Linked DNA regions of Diceros bicornis minor. The protein of the gene in region 1 purifies or fractionates together with the protein of each later gene. This does not show direct contact. Links are inferred from orthologs where the notes say so. Each region holds a gene or a part of one and is shown on either strand. Other genes may lie near its edges. The genes, in order: CARNMT1 and RNF113A.

What was found.
Region 2: the proteins of CARNMT1 (region 1) and RNF113A purify together in Homo sapiens (affinity purification with mass spectrometry; 3 studies listed by BioGRID and IntAct, counting the BioPlex papers as one, with this or other methods). This does not show direct contact. The link is inferred for Diceros bicornis minor from reciprocal best matches to the Homo sapiens genes CARNMT1 and RNF113A.

What each region holds. Positions count from the first base shown.
Region 1 is NC_080761.1:18,786,420-18,795,591, forward strand, and holds the start of CARNMT1 (carnosine N-methyltransferase), read left to right. Parts: upstream 1-5,147; 5' UTR 5,148-5,250; coding exon 5,251-5,492; intron 5,493-9,172.
Region 2 is NC_080781.1:110,359,627-110,366,942, forward strand, and holds RNF113A (E3 ubiquitin-protein ligase RNF113A), read right to left. Parts: upstream 2,577-7,316; 5' UTR 2,417-2,576; coding exon 1,385-2,416; 3' UTR 1,329-1,384; downstream 1-1,328. Other genes in the region: NDUFA1 (NADH dehydrogenase [ubiquinone] 1 alpha subcomplex subunit 1), read left to right, coding at 2,711-2,812, 3,680-3,769, 5,693-5,713. UniProt on the Homo sapiens protein: Required for pre-mRNA splicing as component of the spliceosome. As a component of the minor spliceosome, involved in the splicing of U12-type introns in pre-mRNAs. E3 ubiquitin-protein ligase that catalyzes the transfer of ubiquitin onto target proteins.

The DNA.
Region 1 (9,172 bases):
AGACAGTACTTGGAAAGAGCAGAATTAATGGAGGTATTCCAAGAATAAAAATCATAAATCCTAGACTGATGATGATTATAAGGGAAGCCTGGTATTGAGCCAAAGAAGCCACTAGCTGCTTTCTCGTTTTTTCTTGAAGTCCTTAGATCAATAGCAGTTTGAGTCTCTGTTGACATAAAAACAAGATATTTGACATAAAGAGTAAGAAATAGTTTACCTCCATAAACATATTCCTTGGGCAATCTAGTCTCTCAGTTTTGGTCAGCAAAATACATATCTTTTCTCGCCCATGTGGAATTTAAATCACTGTAAATAACAATCATTTGCAAATTAATAAGGTTTCCAAAACTAAAAGGACTTCATGAAACTTATTTAAGGATAAGTTAAGATCAACTTCAGTAGAGGCAGTAGATCCAGTGGTTAATAGTTTCTTGGGCTTATAGACATGCTTTCAAATTTGGATTTTACCATTTAATAGCTGTATGACTTGAGTAGCTTCAAACAGAATCATAGTGATAAAAGAACATCCTTTAGCAGATTCGCTATTGAGAAGAAATCCGAAATTAAGCAAATTGAGTCCGAAGGCCTGAGAATGCGGAGGCTGATGGTATAAGTCCTGGGCTGAGTCTGAAAGTCTGAGAACCAGGAGCACCGCTGTCTCAGCTCAAGCAAACTTACCCTTTTTCTGCTTCTTTGCTCATTTTAGGCTCTCAATGAACTAGATGATGCCCACCCACAATGTGAGGACAATTTTTTTTTTCTCAGTCTACTGGTTCAAATGCTAATTTCTTCTGGAGACATCCCACAGACACACCCAGAAATAATGTTTTACCAGTTGTCTGGGCATCCTTTAGCACAGTTAAGTTGACACATAAAATTAACCATCACAGGAATGCAATGTCAGGTAGTGCTAAGTGCTCTGAAGAAAAACAAAAATGGTTAAAGGAGCTGGAGTGTACGTGAAAAAAATAAAATGCTTCTAATAAAAAATAAAGTGTGATATGTTTGTCTAAGGGATACCTCATGGTATGAAAATGAACAAACTACACTTTATACAACAACATGGAAAAAACTTTAAAACATAATGTGGAGTAAAAGAAGCAAGACATGGTACCACGAGAAAACAATCAGCCAAACCCAAAATATGGGATATTCTGCAGGTCAAATGATTGAGGAATAAAAGAAAGGAGTAGTCATAATGTTCTGATTTTTTAAAACTAACTATAAAGAGACATCTTTGAGGCAACTGGGGAAATTTGAATAAGAACTGCATATTAGATGATAAGATTTATTATTAATTTTGTTGACAGATATAATAATGATGGCTATCTTTAAAAAATTCCTTTTAGACATGCATAGTAAAGTGTGTATGGGAAAAATAATATAATGTCTGAGAATTGCTTTAAAATACCCCTACAAAAATTCATGAACAAACAATCAACAAGGTGAGGTTAGATAAAACAAGATTAGTAAATAATTGTTGATAATTGTTGAAATTGGGTGAAGAGTTATAATAACATAAGAGATTTCTTATGTTATTGTCTCTATTTTTATATAACTTTGAAAATCTCCATAATTCAAATGTTTTAAATGAGAAAAGTATTTAATTTACTTAGAAACTTGTTTTGGGCTTAAATGTAAAAATGTATCCATAAGAATAAAGTAGAAGTTACAAGTTTATGTGTCATTATACTTTTTATTTTGAGATAATTGTAGATTCATATGCAGTTGTAAGAAATAATTCAGACAGATCTCATATACCCTTCACCCCAATGTCAATATCTTGCATAACTATAGTATAATATCACAATCAGGAAGTTGACATTGATACAATCAACTGATCTTATTCAGATTTCACCAGTTTGATAGGTATTCATTTATGTGTGTATGGCGTGTATATTAATTTCTATGCAATTTCATCACATGCATAGATCTGTGTCACCACCACCATAGTCAAGATACAGAATAGTTCTATCACAAGTTTCCCTTGTGCCACCCTTTTATAGCCGCAGTCTACCCTTCCTCACTACCACCCTCAACCTGGGGCAACCGATAATCTGTTCTCCATCTCTATAATTTTGGCATTTCAAGACAAAATACGTAAGTGGAATCATACAGTATGTAATCCTTTGATATTGGTTTCTTCCCCCCCGCTCAGCATAATTCCCTTGAGATTCATCTAAATTATGGAGTCTATCAATAGTTCATTCATTTTTTATTGCTGAGTAGTATTCCCTTGTATGAATGGCCACAGTTTAACTATTCATTTGCTGAAGGACATTTGGGTTGTTTCCAGTTTTGGGCTTTGACAAATAAAGCTGCCATGAACTTTCATGTACAGGTTTTTGTGTGAACACATGTTTTCATTTCTCTGGGATAAATGTCCAAAAGTGCAATTGTTGGGTTGTATGGTATGCACATGTTCAGTTTCATAAGAAACTGTTATACTCTTTTCCTCAGTGGCTGTACCATTTCACATTCCCATCAGCAATGATGAATGTATGAATGTGTAGCTTTAACTGCTTAACTCACAGTTCTTCAGAATAACTAAAAAAAGAATTATGGTGTTTTGTGGTTACTAATTTCTGGAGATTAACTGACTTCCGTCTGATGAAAACATTCCAAAACTTTCAGCCCAATGGCTCCATGACTTGGGAAGATTTCTATAGGAGAAACTCATTGCAAAGAAGTTAGGTTAAGGAAGCGTTAAAAGTGTTTTAAAACAAGGCCAAAAACTTATTCTAAAGACATCTGAAAGGAGGAGAGAAAACATTTATTGGGCTGATATATCAGGCATTTGTCATTCTTTATCTCATTTATTCCTCCTCATGACCCTGTAAAAAAGTAATATTATATCCATTTTAGAAATAATACAATCGAGGCCTCAAGTAACTTTTCAAACAGGTCACAGTTACTAACTGGTAAAGCAAGAATGAGACGCCCATGTTTCCACCAGCTTCTAGCTGCCTTTAGGGCAGTACAAGAAACATAGGAGGCCATCAACACATTTGTTGAAAAGAATGAATGAATAAATGAACTTCAGCTCTGCTATTTATGTGTCCCTGGGCAAGAAAATTAATTTCTCTGAGTCTGTTTCTTCATTTGTTAAAGGAAGATAATAATAACACCTCCTTCAGAGAGTTGAATTAAGGAACAAAGAAGGGAAAACAATAGGGAAAAACAATTTGAAAAATGTAAAATGTTAAACAGATGTTAGACAGAATAATATTTTTTTGTGTGTGAGGAGATCAGCCCTGAGTTAACATCCTCCTCTTTTAGCTGAGGAAGACTGGCCCTGGGCTAACATTCATGCCCATCTTCCTCCACTTTATATGGGACGCCGCCACAGCATGGCTTGCCAAGTGGTGCATCAGTGTACGCCCGGATCGGAACAGGCGAACCCCGGGCCACGGCAGCGGAGCGCACGCACTTAACTGCTTGCGCCACTGGGCCGGCCCCCAGAATAATATTTTAAAAGTACAGTCAGTGTCATAATCAAATACTGATAAAATAAAGACATAAGACCTGGGTAGGTGGGCGCAGTGCCAGTAATTTACTGTGTGGCCCTATGATGATCACTTAATATGTCCGCTCCTCCAGTTTCTTCATGTACAAAATCACAATTGAGTTTAAAGCTGAGCACCTTAATGACACAGACCCTAAGATTCTCAACAAATTATGAAACAGAACCAAGAAAGCCTCTATTCAAATTAATTTGAAAATGTTTATTATACTTCCCAAGATGTTCACAAGTATGTAGCTGATTATCATTATCCACAGCATTCTGGCCTTTATCAATTAGGTCATTTGGACCTATATCAATACATATCACAAATTATGACATGTATAACTTGCGTATGTGTATATGAAAATAGTATTGGTAACAATTAATAATATGAGAATTTATACATAATTTCCAAGCACCAGTCTCTAAGAAAAATAGGCACTGGATAGAAAAATCTGGAAGAATAGAAAAAGAATCAGTATATTGTCTGGGGAGGGGATATGGGTGGCTAGGGACAGGGATAAAGAAACTCCACATTTGTAACCCTCTGCACTTTCCTTTTGAATTCTGAACTATGTATGACTTCATTACTATTCAAAAATAGACTGACATTTTATAAAAATTTTGTATAAAAATATAACATTAACATGGAACCACCACAGTATATTTTTAGCATTGTCTTTATTTCACTTAAATCGTGAAAGTATGAAGGCACTTTATTTGCAATATATCTTTTTAACAGAAATTGTGGTCCCTATGCATGTTTAACTCTTTTAAATAAAACACTCTTTCCCTTTATTTTGTGAGACTGATTTAATTGAATGGAATGAGTTATTTCCTAAGAATTACATTAAATGCAGGTAGGGCAGCCGTTTTAGCCCCGGGCCCAGAGAGAAATGAGGCAAAAGGTGAACGCAGGTGAAGAAGAGAAAGAGGTTAAGCCCGGCATCGCTAAGGGCCACGGTTAGATGCTAGTGGATGTCCCTGCGCCAATGCTGGGGCATTAAGACTCCTGTGCGCTTCGAGGGTCCTCCCCAGCACGGGTACTGGATAGAGTTACATCCCTGCATTTTCCTCATCTGCTGCCATCAGGGCAGGATTGGGACTTTGGCAGGCTCCTAAACACTGGAAAGATGATGGTGTCTCTCTCCCCGTATGTAATTAAAAATAGAAGTTTATTTAGGAAATAAAACTTAATTAGGATGAATGCAACACCTTCCTTCTAGACTTTCTGAAATAAAAATTCCCAATAAATTCATCAAAGCTGAACTTTTTTTCTGCCTTTCCCTCCTTTTCTAATACTTTAGCCTTACTCCAACTGCCTGCTCCAGAATCCAGCCCTCGCAGGCTGTGGAACCCCACCCACCTGGCTGCTCTCAGGTACCAGCCCCACCCCACCCCACCAGGAATCTCCTCCTTCGTTCCTCCCACCTGGCCATTAGCTCCGCCCACTGGGCGCATCGTCGTGACGTCAGCGCGCCGTCGCCGACGCCCGGCAGCAAATGAACGCAGGCGGCCGCGGTCCTCCGTCGTACCTTGGCATGCGCATGCGCACTCGTTCCGGGCGCTCTGAAGACCTGGCGGAGCCCGGCGCGGAGGGAGGCCTGAGGGTGGCGGGGGCGGAGCGCGCTGCGAGCTGGGGGCATGTCCGCGGCGGGCGCCGTCTAGAGGGAGGCCGAGCAGCCGCCACCACGCTTTCAGTCGCGGCGAGACGCAAGCGAGCCAGGCCGAGGGCCGCGGCGGCGATGCAGCGACGGCGGCGCCCTCCGCCGCCCGCCTCTCGGCTGCCCGAGGGCTGCGGAGGCGGCGGCGGCGGCCGCAGTGGCGGCGGCGGGAGCGAGGAGGTGGAAGTGCAGTTCTCCGCCGGGCGTTTGGGCTCCGCCGCGGCGGTTGCGGCGGCGGCGGCCGCGCGCAGCACCGAGGAGGAGGAGGAGAGGCTCGAGCGCGAGCACTTCTGGAAGATCATTAATGCCTTCCGCTACTACGGGTAAGGAGCCCGGGGCGGACCCCGGCCTAGCCCGTGGGGGCGCCCGCTGGTTGCGGCGGACCCGCCGGGACGATGGCGCCAGCCGCGCTCGCTCTCCGGCCGCCACGCCTCCGGCGCCCGGACCGGGCCGCCTGAGCTGACCTCGGGGCCCCGAGTCACCTTAGCGCCCCCCTGCCCGGGCCCTGCACGCTCGCGTGTCTGCCGCGCCGTCTGCTGCTCAGCCTCCTGTCTTCTAACCTGAGGATCAGATTAGCTCTCTTGCCTTCCACCCCTCGTTAAAGGTTTGGCTTTGAGGCCGGTGGGGTTTACTGGAGAAGTGCTATAACAATTTCAGGTAGAAGATGATGGTGGTAAAATCGTCCAGGGCACGGCGTGGTGTGTATGGGTTGTCTCCAAACTGAACACACGGAGAGCCCAAGTTCACCTACACGTGGGATGCTGTAGGACGTTTTTTCCCAAACTGTTGCCACTTCTTGTGAGAGCAGCTTAAGATTTCCACCCCACCCCCCACCCGCCTTGGCGCTGTGAACGTACAGGCACATTTGTGGTGAGCGAGTGAATGATCCCGTTCAATTTCTTTAACTGGTGGGTGAAATTAAGGTCAGAGGTGGGCCGGATGTACTAAAATTTGCTTATTATTAAGGAGGGAAATGAGAGAAGATGCAGTAAGAGTTGCCTTTATGATCTTTTATTTTCAAATATGTATCGAATTCTCACTGTGGGCTGGGCACGGTGGTAGGACTTTTAAACTTCTTGATTTCCACTTTTCATCTTTTTAGATAGATGTTAAAATAGCTTAGTCGCAAAATTATAATTTCAAGATCTGAAAGGGACTGAAATCAACTAGATTTTCGGGTTAAAGATGGCACTTTTATTCGTCTAAGACATGAGTCCGCCGACGGCTGTGTTCTGAGTCTGCCATTGGAAATCAGACAGACAGGACCTCCTACGCAAGTTAAAACTGTTCCCTTAGATGGGCTCCTGCTGTGCTTTGTGCAGACTTTTTTATGTTGCTTGACTGTGACCTCCTCAGGGACAGGGACTGAATCTTATTTACTTTTTCGTCGCCAGCCTTTGGCGTATGTTGTTGAAGCTCTGTTTTTAACAAATAAGACAAATAGTAGCAAAGAAATACGTTTGTCATTGCTAAATAAGTAGCAAAGAAATACATTTGTCATTCCTCAATAGTCTATTTGTGACTAATGGGTAAATTAGTTTGTTACTATTCTGAATTTAGAAACTTGGTTAGTAAAAGCTTCAAGTTATTTAGAAATGACATGAATTTTTGAAGTTCGAAGATCTTGATGAAATAGTTTACTCATTAAACCCAGGCCTGGGAACTGTGGACTGCATTACTTATGGAGCCCAAAAGGGAATTCGTAGTATTCGTAGTATTTAGTATCAACAGAGGGAGGAAGGCAGACAATAAGAGAATTGAATTTGATGCAAGTTTTGTGCCTGGAAGAACCAGGCGGGCAAGGAAAGTAGCTGACATTAGATAGCTAAGAGTGGTAGGTGCAGAAAAGTCGGGTACATTTTACTATAGAAAAATCTAGAAATAATATTGGAAAATGTCTTGGGAATATAGTGGACCCAATTAGTTAAAATGTGTTTGTACTCAGTTCTAATATGTTAGGACTAATTTAGAATTGATATTTGTGATTAGGTATTAGATGGGCCTTTTTTTCGGGGGTGGAGGTGGGGGGTAGCAGGGGAACTTTTACCTGGAACTGGGACCCAAGTGTGGCAATATAGAAAAGAGTGCTTGTGTGAGCCTTCTAGTGGATGTGATACCGTTTCCTATACTCTCATCCCTCTTCTTTACCAGTTAATGTGGGGTTGAGGAAAATTTCATTTTTTTAAAACAACCCTTTTTATTTGCATGGACTCTCTTGATGAAACACTTCAAATTCCTAAACTGAAAATAGTATGCAATAAAAAATATGCTTTTAAAATATCAGTTAAAGGACTGAGAGTGTGGAAAGCATTGTGTAGCAGAAAACACACTGGAATTGTTACATTCCAACATTTTGTGGTTTTCTAGATCTGCACTATCTCATACTGTAGCCACTAATAACATCTGGCTAAATTTAAGCTTAAATTAATTAAAATTTAATAAAATTTACAATTCATTTCCTCAGTCTCACTAACTACATTTCAAGTGCTCACTGGCCACATGTGGCTAGTGTCTGCTGGATTGGATAGTGCAGGTGTAAACCTTTCCGTCTTGCAGTAAGTTCTGATGGACAGTCCTATTCTAGACTTTCAGCGGGTACTTCCAAACTTTAGAGAGTTTGGTTTTACTGCTAAATGTCTTTTAAGATTAAGATTATAGGAGATTAAGATTAAAGGTCATAGAGCAAGAAATGTCCTTTGATTGATGTTTTCTCTTTCCAATGGCTTCCAATTTTGTACTTCCTACAGATTTTGCTTAGATGATGTATTCTGACTAAGGTAAAAATGATTATAGCCTTGTACTGAATAACAAAAACCGTTTGCCTTAAAATACCCCTCTTGTTGAATGAAGATACCTAGTCACATAGAAAATACTACAGTTGAAAAATCAAAGGTCTTGTCAGAAACATCCTACTTTTAGAAATAGTGGTTAGATGAGATGTTTAAAATTGAGATGTAGAGTCTATTTTTACAGGTGAGGGGATAGGCATATAAAGAGGTGAGCAACTTGCTCAGGGTTACACAACCAAATTGTGGTAGATTCTGGCCTGAAATTCAAAATTGTTCACTAAAATTTTACCCTTATTAGTAAGTAAATTACTAGTGTTAGTAAGTAGTGATAATAGTAAGAAAATTTTAACTTTGGGTATGTAATAGATATTTAAAATGGGATTGGACAGACGTTCCTTCTGAAAAGATATGCTTTTCTGTTTGCAATTCTAGAGTAGTTCAACAGGTGCAGAGGAATGGGCCTATGACCTTGGACCCTGGCTCAGACCCAGCATTGGATTGACCCTGATGAAAGGTGACTAAGTCAGAGTTGGGGTCACTGCCAACCCTTGAGGAAATATGACTGCTGACTCTACTGTATTCTCCCCTTAGCCAGCAGAGGATGTGGCCACTTGATGCTGGCTGACTTCTGAACCAAGGAGAGTCTGAAGGTTGTAAAACATTCCTTTAAAGCGGGGTTGGCAAACTTTCTTTAAAGGGCCAGGCAATAACTATTTTAAGCTCTGGGGGCTAGGTGGTCTCTGTTACAACTATTCAACTCTGCCCTTGTGTGGAAGCAACCATAGGCAATGTGTGAACAAATGGGCATGGCTATGTTCTAGTAAAACTTTCTACAAAACGGACTGAGTAGCCAGTGGGCCGTAGTTTGCTCACCCCTGTCTTAAAGCACATTGATAGCATAAGCATTTCTAGAATAATGAAGTTAGCCCCAATTTTAATAGTGTAGTAAAGATTGGACTCTTTTCTCAACTTTGATAAGACCTCACTTATTTCAGAAGAGTCCCTGTGGACATATGTTGTGGACAGCTTTGCACACCATTAAGTAACCAAGGGTTAAAGGATATGCTGCATCTTATCTTGCTTTTTGTAGTGCCATCACTTGTGTATCAGGAATTGACAGCAAGTATGTGGGGGCCTCTTCTGACCAATCCATAACGTATCTCAACTCCCCTGCCGTCATGGAAATAAGTAGTCTCCGTGGAGAACCAAAAGTG
Region 2 (7,316 bases), on another chromosome or scaffold:
ACCTCATCTTTGCTGGCATGCTTTCTTTTTTTTCCATATTTAACTTTTTAAAATTTATAAGAACAACTATTTAGTTTCCATCTATGAAATGAAGTTGCACCATTTAATTAAAGGTGATAAAAAATAGTTCTGACTTCTAAAAAATGAAATTATAAACTTGTAAACATGAAAAATACTGTGAGGCCACTATCAATTTACGTGCTTTTCTGTAGTTATGATCCTTTTTAAGAATCTGCTGAATGTTGTGGATCCCAAGAATAATACTCATTTGCATATATTTTGTATACTCGTAAGATTCACTGACAGGTATTAAAAAATGCATGTGGAGTATTAGACGAATATCATCTTTCTCCTTTTCTTTCTCTCAGCTCTAAGACTTCTTGATTTATGCCTTTAATCCCACCTCTTCTCAGTTCTAGCCACCTTCTAGAGCTTAGTCAGCAGCAGCATTCTTTTTCTTTCATATTTGTTTTCTCCCAGACCCTTTCCCTCAGCTTATTATATATAATAGGTAGCAATTCAATGTATATCTTTTTCCATAAAGCTTTATTCTACTTTTGAATAACTTTCTTAGTATAAATTCTAAGGAATAGTAAAAAAAAAATGAACCATTTTTGTGATTCTTTTGCTACTCATTACCGTATTTCTTTCCATGACACTTTTTAGAACACTGTCTTCCTTTGCCTTCTATGGCAGTGTACACTCCTGTTTCTCAGTCTGCCTCTACAACGTCCTCTTTCCTGTTTCCTATTCGGCTCTATTACTTTGTCCCCTCCCTTAAATGCTGTTTCCCGTGTGATGACTTCTTTTGTGTGTGTGTGTGATGATTTATTAAGCCATTTTCCCAGTAGGCTTCTCATGTATCCCCACTATACTTTATACATTGTTATAGAATGTGGTGGACCCTGTGGTGCTAGCTACAAGTCCCCCAACCGAATTCTCCCACTCAACACCCCCCTCCCCCACAACACACACGCACCTTGGCTGGGGTGTATTTGAAGTAGTATAGGCTCCCAGTAGAGATAACGCATGCAAGTACTTTTGTAAACTATTGATACGGAAATGTGATATAACAAATAGGTTCAGTTTTTGCTTTCATCACAGCTTTGGTTATTTCAGCGAATTCTAGCTCTTTTCTTGAACTTCTCCCATCCCCAGAATTTAAGCCAAAGGATTCTGAAAAGGATCTGTTACACACAGGCAGCATTTATACAAGGTAAAAATTCAGATTATACCTACCTCGATGCTTTTACAAGGTATCCATCCAGGACCCTACTTCACCACCCGCCTTTTCCTCTGACACTTTCCCTGGAAAGGAAGGACACGAATTAACATTTCCAAAACAACAAAATATTTATTTTGATTTTTGAGAATAATGGGAAAACTAAGTAATGGGGATTGGACCCTCATCGGGGTCTTCTGGGAAATCGGAAGCACCACCCTCTTCTGCAGCTCGATGCTTCTCCAGTTTAGCGATCAATTCTTTCGCTGGATTGAAGACGCCATTGGTTTGCTGGTCACAGACATAGCAGCGCGGGGTGGTGCGGAAATGCTGCAGTGCACAGCTCTCGCAGAAATAATGCCTGCACTTGGTGACAACTGGGTTTTGGAAGGTCTGGCGACAGATGAAACACTTGAATGGTATTTCCTCATCATCGCTTCCCACTTCATAGTTTTCGTCCTCATAGACACCATAGCGACCCTCATCAAGCTCACGTTCGATCTGCCACCCATGCTTGTAATCTGAACGGTCATGGAGGAATTTGCAGCTGTCTCCGAAGCCGCAAAAGCCAGTCTCCTTGTAGTCCTTACAGATGTCGGGCTGGTAATCCCAGCGCACGGTGGCACGTAGATGCTCGGGAGCTCGGATGGGGCCCTTCCTCACCATCCCGGAGGAAGCATTGCCCATAGACGTATCCTTGGGCTTCATATATTTCTGATAATTATTGATTCCCCGATAGATCTTGTCATCTTCCTTGCCCCTCAGCTCCTCCTGGATCTTCTGGCTGCGCTCAAAGATGGCTTGTGCGTCACGCTCCTTCTCTGTGTCTAGCTCGTAGACAGCAGTCGCCCCCAAATCCTCTGGGCCCACGGGTTTCGCCGAGCGGGTGGACTTGTAGACCACGCCGAGACTCTCAGGCTCCTTCTCCTCCTCTTCCTCGCTACTGAAGTCGCCGTAAACCGCCTTCTGTTTACCACTGCCACGGGTTTTCTGTATCATCGGATTGTGGGTCACCCTCTTCTTTTCCGGGCGAACCACAGTGCTGCCTTCTTCACCGCTGCTGCTGCTGTCTTCGGGCTCTCGGTCGCGGACTGGGCGCTTTCTGCGGCCTGCAGCCCCTTTCCGCCCAGGCTTTTTGAAGAGGAAGGTGCACACCTGGTCTGTCACCTTTCCTGGAGAAAGCTGCTCCGCCATTTTAGAGTCCCGAGCTCCGAAACGGCTGCTCGCGCGGGGCCTCTTCGCGTCACTGCACGGCGTGCGCTCCGCCGCGACTCGGAGCAAAACAGACTGCAGAAGGAAGACTGCGGGAGCGCGGGAGCGCGAGCACACGCCACTCTTGAACCCTGCCGGACTCCGTCGCTTCCTCCAGAGGCGTACGTGACCCCGCCCCGCTCGCGGGCTGCCGCGGAGTTTACCCGGAAGGGACCGAAGCCGGGTCACCTTTAAGGGGCCTGGGAGGAAGTGTCTGGTCCCGGTAACCGTGTTGCGATGTGGTTCGAAATTCTTCCCGGGATGGCCGTCATGGCCGTGTGCTTGTTCATCCCCGGAATGGCCACGGCGCGCCTCAACAGGTTCACTAACGGGGGCAAGGTAAGGCAGCTTCTGCGGCCCGACGGCTGACTCCGCGGATTGGCGTTACAAACTGGGCGGTGGGGTAGGGAGGCCGGTAGAACCCGGAGCCTCTCTCCGAGATGGGGAGTCCCAAGGTCGGCCCTCTCCTTTCTTCGTGTTGCCTAAAAGCAGAGGCTTGCGGAATGAAGCCCAACGGAAACCACATTCTACTCTAGCAAGAAGTTGCTGGGTGAAGAGTGGGCAAGAGGGCAGAGTAGAGGCAGAGAGAGGCATCAATTAGTTTTGTCCCCGCTTCCTCCGACCTCCAATCTCCTTTCTTGCTGGATTTTGATTTTAATTTCTCGCATCCACGTCTTGGTAGCTTCGTTTTTGACGTGTTCCCTACCCTTAATTAGGTTTTTACCTTGACGTTTTTTATCTCCCACTTTTTCTTGCAAGCCTTTAGGAATTTACCGCAAGATCCTGTTATTCACATCAGGATTGTAATTTTCCTCTCTTCCTAGTCCTTCCCATCATCTCTGGAATACAGAGTGTAAATGTGTTTGCTTTCTGCTTTTGTGATTGTCCTTCACGTGTGATCTACCACTGTTGTTTCTTCTCATTAGGGTCCCAAAAGGAAACAAGTAGTCATATCTTTTAAAAAAAGGAGGAAAGAAAAAAAATGATGCTGGTTAAAATAGGAAAGTGTAAGAACTCATGGTTACCATCTTAATTCTAAAGTTTAGTCGTCCGATTTTATTTAGGATTATTGTCTTCTATTGTTAATTTGGTTTTTATTTCAGTGATGATTCCATTTTTCTATAATGTCACTTATTAAAGTTCTAGTATCCCTCTATTGGGTCACTTATGTTTATAAACTGCAATAATAATTTCTTTTAATTGTAGGAAAAAAGGGTTGCCTATTATCCATATCAGTGGAGTTTGATGGAAAGAGATAGGCGCATCTCTGGAGTTAATCATTACTATAAGTCAAAGGTAAGATGGTTCTGATGCTAGCCATCTGTCACGGAGGTGGGTTCTGGTAATATTTTGCCAAAAGTCTTACAGTGCTAATTTAGTTTGCATTTTCTTGTCTATTAGTGAGGTTGAGTAGCTTTTTACATATTTAATAATCGTTTGTATTTCTTATTCTGTGGATTGTTTGCCTATAATCTTTGCTTGTTCTGTTGTCTTTTTCTTTTTGATTTATAGCAGTTCTTTATGTATTATGAATATTAATCTTTTATTTTATATGTGGCAAATATTTTTCCCAGTCTGCTGTTTGTCTTTTTCACTTCACGATGTCTTTCATCAGATAGTAGTTTTTAATTTTGATGTTCAGTTTATCATAGTTTATCCTTCTGGATTTGGGGTTTTTTGTCTTGCTTACAAATGACTTTGCTACCCAAGATTGTAAAAATATATTCTTACAATTTTTCTAAATACTGTTACAGTTTCTTTTTTCTTTTCTTTTCTCTTTTTACATTTAGTGCTTTGACCCTTCTACAGGTCATTTTGGGACATAATGTGAAGCCAGGATTTGACTTTTCTTTTTTCTAAGAGATAGCCAGTTGTCACAATTATCCATTTATAGAATAGTCCATTTTTTTATTTGAAATACCACTCTAGTAAACTAAATTTCCATATACACCTGGGCCTGTTTCATGAATGCACTCTTCTATACTCCATTGGTTTGCCAATTCCTGCACCAATACCATATGTAAAGAAGCACTATAATTTTGTATGTGCTTGAATCATATGAAATTGCTGTTTTTTGTAGGTTAAAAATGGCCAAGTAGTAGCATTTTCATATGGTTCAACCTAATAGTATGTTCTTATATCTTGTAGGAGTTCGTCTTCATTATTCTTTTAAAATATTTTAGTTTTTTATATTTTCTTCTTGCTCATTTATTCTTCAGTGAACTTGGGTAAATATTAATTCCATTTTATAGATGAAAAAATAGAGAGTCAGAACGATTAAATAACACTATAAGGACTCAACCTAGGTGATCTGCCCCTCAGTATATATTTGAGAATCTAATCTAATCTACGTGATGATATCTACAAATCTAGAGCAGTATTTCTCAAGTATGGTCCAAGAATAACCATCAGAATCACCTGGCATATGAGATAAAATACAGATTCCTAGGCCCCTGGCCAGACCAAATGAATTAGGATTTCTACAAGGTGGCCCCTAGGACTATGCAATTTTAATTTGTCTCAAGGTGATTCTTCCTACAATAGTAAACAAAATATCTGGACTGTGTTATTTTAACACCTGGAAGAAATGTCATCATTTCTTTTACTTAATCTTTTACTTTATAGTTTCTGAAGTATTTGGTTGTGAACTGAGTAAGACAGAGTGGGTCTTCTGAATAAATAGTGTCATGCTTACAGGGCAAGAGTTCTGGAGTTGGAGGAGTCCCTAAACTTGAATTCTGGCTCTGCTACTGCCTTACTGACTTAAGCAAGCAACTTTAAACCTCTCTCAGCCTCCATTTCTTCATCTGTAAAACAGTGGAATGAGGCTAATAGTATCTTCCTCATGTTGACTGTTATTTTATAAAACGGTTTTATCTTACTGTCCTCTGACTCTCTGAGGGTACTTTATAGAAGGATGCAGATGGTAACTATGTAGTTGCTTGCCTTTAGTTTTGATATGGGAGGGTCTTTTTATGTAAAGTGATAATGTTTGCTGCTGTCAGAAAAAGAAAACTAGAAATCATTATAGGTTATTCTTTTTACTTTAGTGATTATAAAATTCAGTCCAATTTATTGTTAGAGTTAGAGCAATGTGGGATGTGGAAGTACTTTCTTAAATGACAGAGAATGCCATTTGGTGACACTGGAAATAAGAGTATGTGTACATTTTTGATGGGAAAATAATTTTCACGTTTTCCTTTTTAAACTGTTTTTCAGGGTTTGGAGAACATTGATTAAGGAAGCATTTTCCTGATTGATGAAAAATAACTCAGTTATACTCATCTACCCCTGCTAGAAGATTATGTAATGTATTATGTAGTACCTAATAAAAATAAAATGAAAAAGTAAAATCGAAGGTTTTCTTTACTTTTTTTAATAGTACTACACAAGATCAAGCAGTCTACCCAATGTAGCTTTATCACTTTAAAAAAACTGGAAAGCGACTGAGGCTTGTAAAATTACAGACATAATGTATACCAAGTGGGGCCGGCCCCGTGGCTTAGCGCTTAAGTGCCTGCGCTCCACTACTGACAGCCCGGCTTTGGATCTGGAGTATGCACCGCCGCACCGCTTCTCCAGCCGTGCTGAGGCTGTGTCCCACATACAGCAACTAGAAGGATGTGCAACTATGACATGCAACTATCTACTGGGGCTTTGGGGAAAAAAAAAAAAAAAAGGAGGATTGGCAATAGATGTTAGCTCAGAGCCGGTCTTCCTCAGCAAAAAGAGGAGGATTAGCATGGATGTTAGCTCAGGGCTGATATTCCTCACAAAACAAAAAAAAATGTACACCAAGCACCTGCCACAGTGCCCAACATCTAATGTGTCATAAATGGCAGTTGCTACTATTGTAATAGATACTAATATACTAAAAAACATTGTTTCTTCAGAGATTGTCAGGAGAATACAGAAAGAGTAGTACTTTTTTTCTAGTTCCTTTTCTGGGTGAATCCTATAGTGTTTAAAATTCCAGTTAGGGGCCGGCCCCGTGGCTTAGCGGTTAAGTTTGCGCGCTCCGCTGCTGGTGGCCCGGGTTCGGAGGGCGCGCACCGACGCACCGCTTCTCCGGCCATGCTGAGGCCACGTCCCACATACAGCAACTAGAAGGATGTGCAACTATGATATACAACTATTTACTGGGGCTTTGGGGGAAAAAAAATAAAAAATAAAATTCCAGTTAGGATGCTTTAAAACGTTGCACCTTCAACTTTCATTCATTCTGTATCTAACACACAGTATTTGCTTAAGTGTTGATTTTTGTTTTAGTGTAGAGCAGCAACAATCATGTTTAATAAAATGAGTGTACTGACCACTTGAAATAAAGAGTTGCATGTTCAACATTAAAGGTAACCAAATAATATGAAGATCTGAAAAGGTATAACTGCTGTAAAGATGGTGATACTCCATGTGTATAGATCCACACCCCAGATGGCCACAGGACCTGTAGGTGAGAAATCTAAATTGTTTTTCATCTCCATCTTTTATCTAGTGTAACATTTGATCTGCTTATGACCTTAAACACACCTGCACTGTGTGGTTTCCGTTGACTGCATCTGACAGGGCAGGACTTAGAGAGGAAGGAGGTGGCAATCACACTTAGAGTAATACTCTATACTGTGCCACCCTGTGAAGATGAAACTGTTCAAGGAAAGCCGTGGTCATGACTACAAACTTAATCAACCTCTAGTCTACATTTAGTGCTGCACAGGCCTCATTTAGTTGATTGTTATGAGAACTATCTTTGGAAAGGAAGAAAGAGGGCAGGTAGTACAGATGGAGATAGAGAAGACTTATTGACAACGTACTGAATCCGTCACTAAACCTATTGATTTTGAGGTCT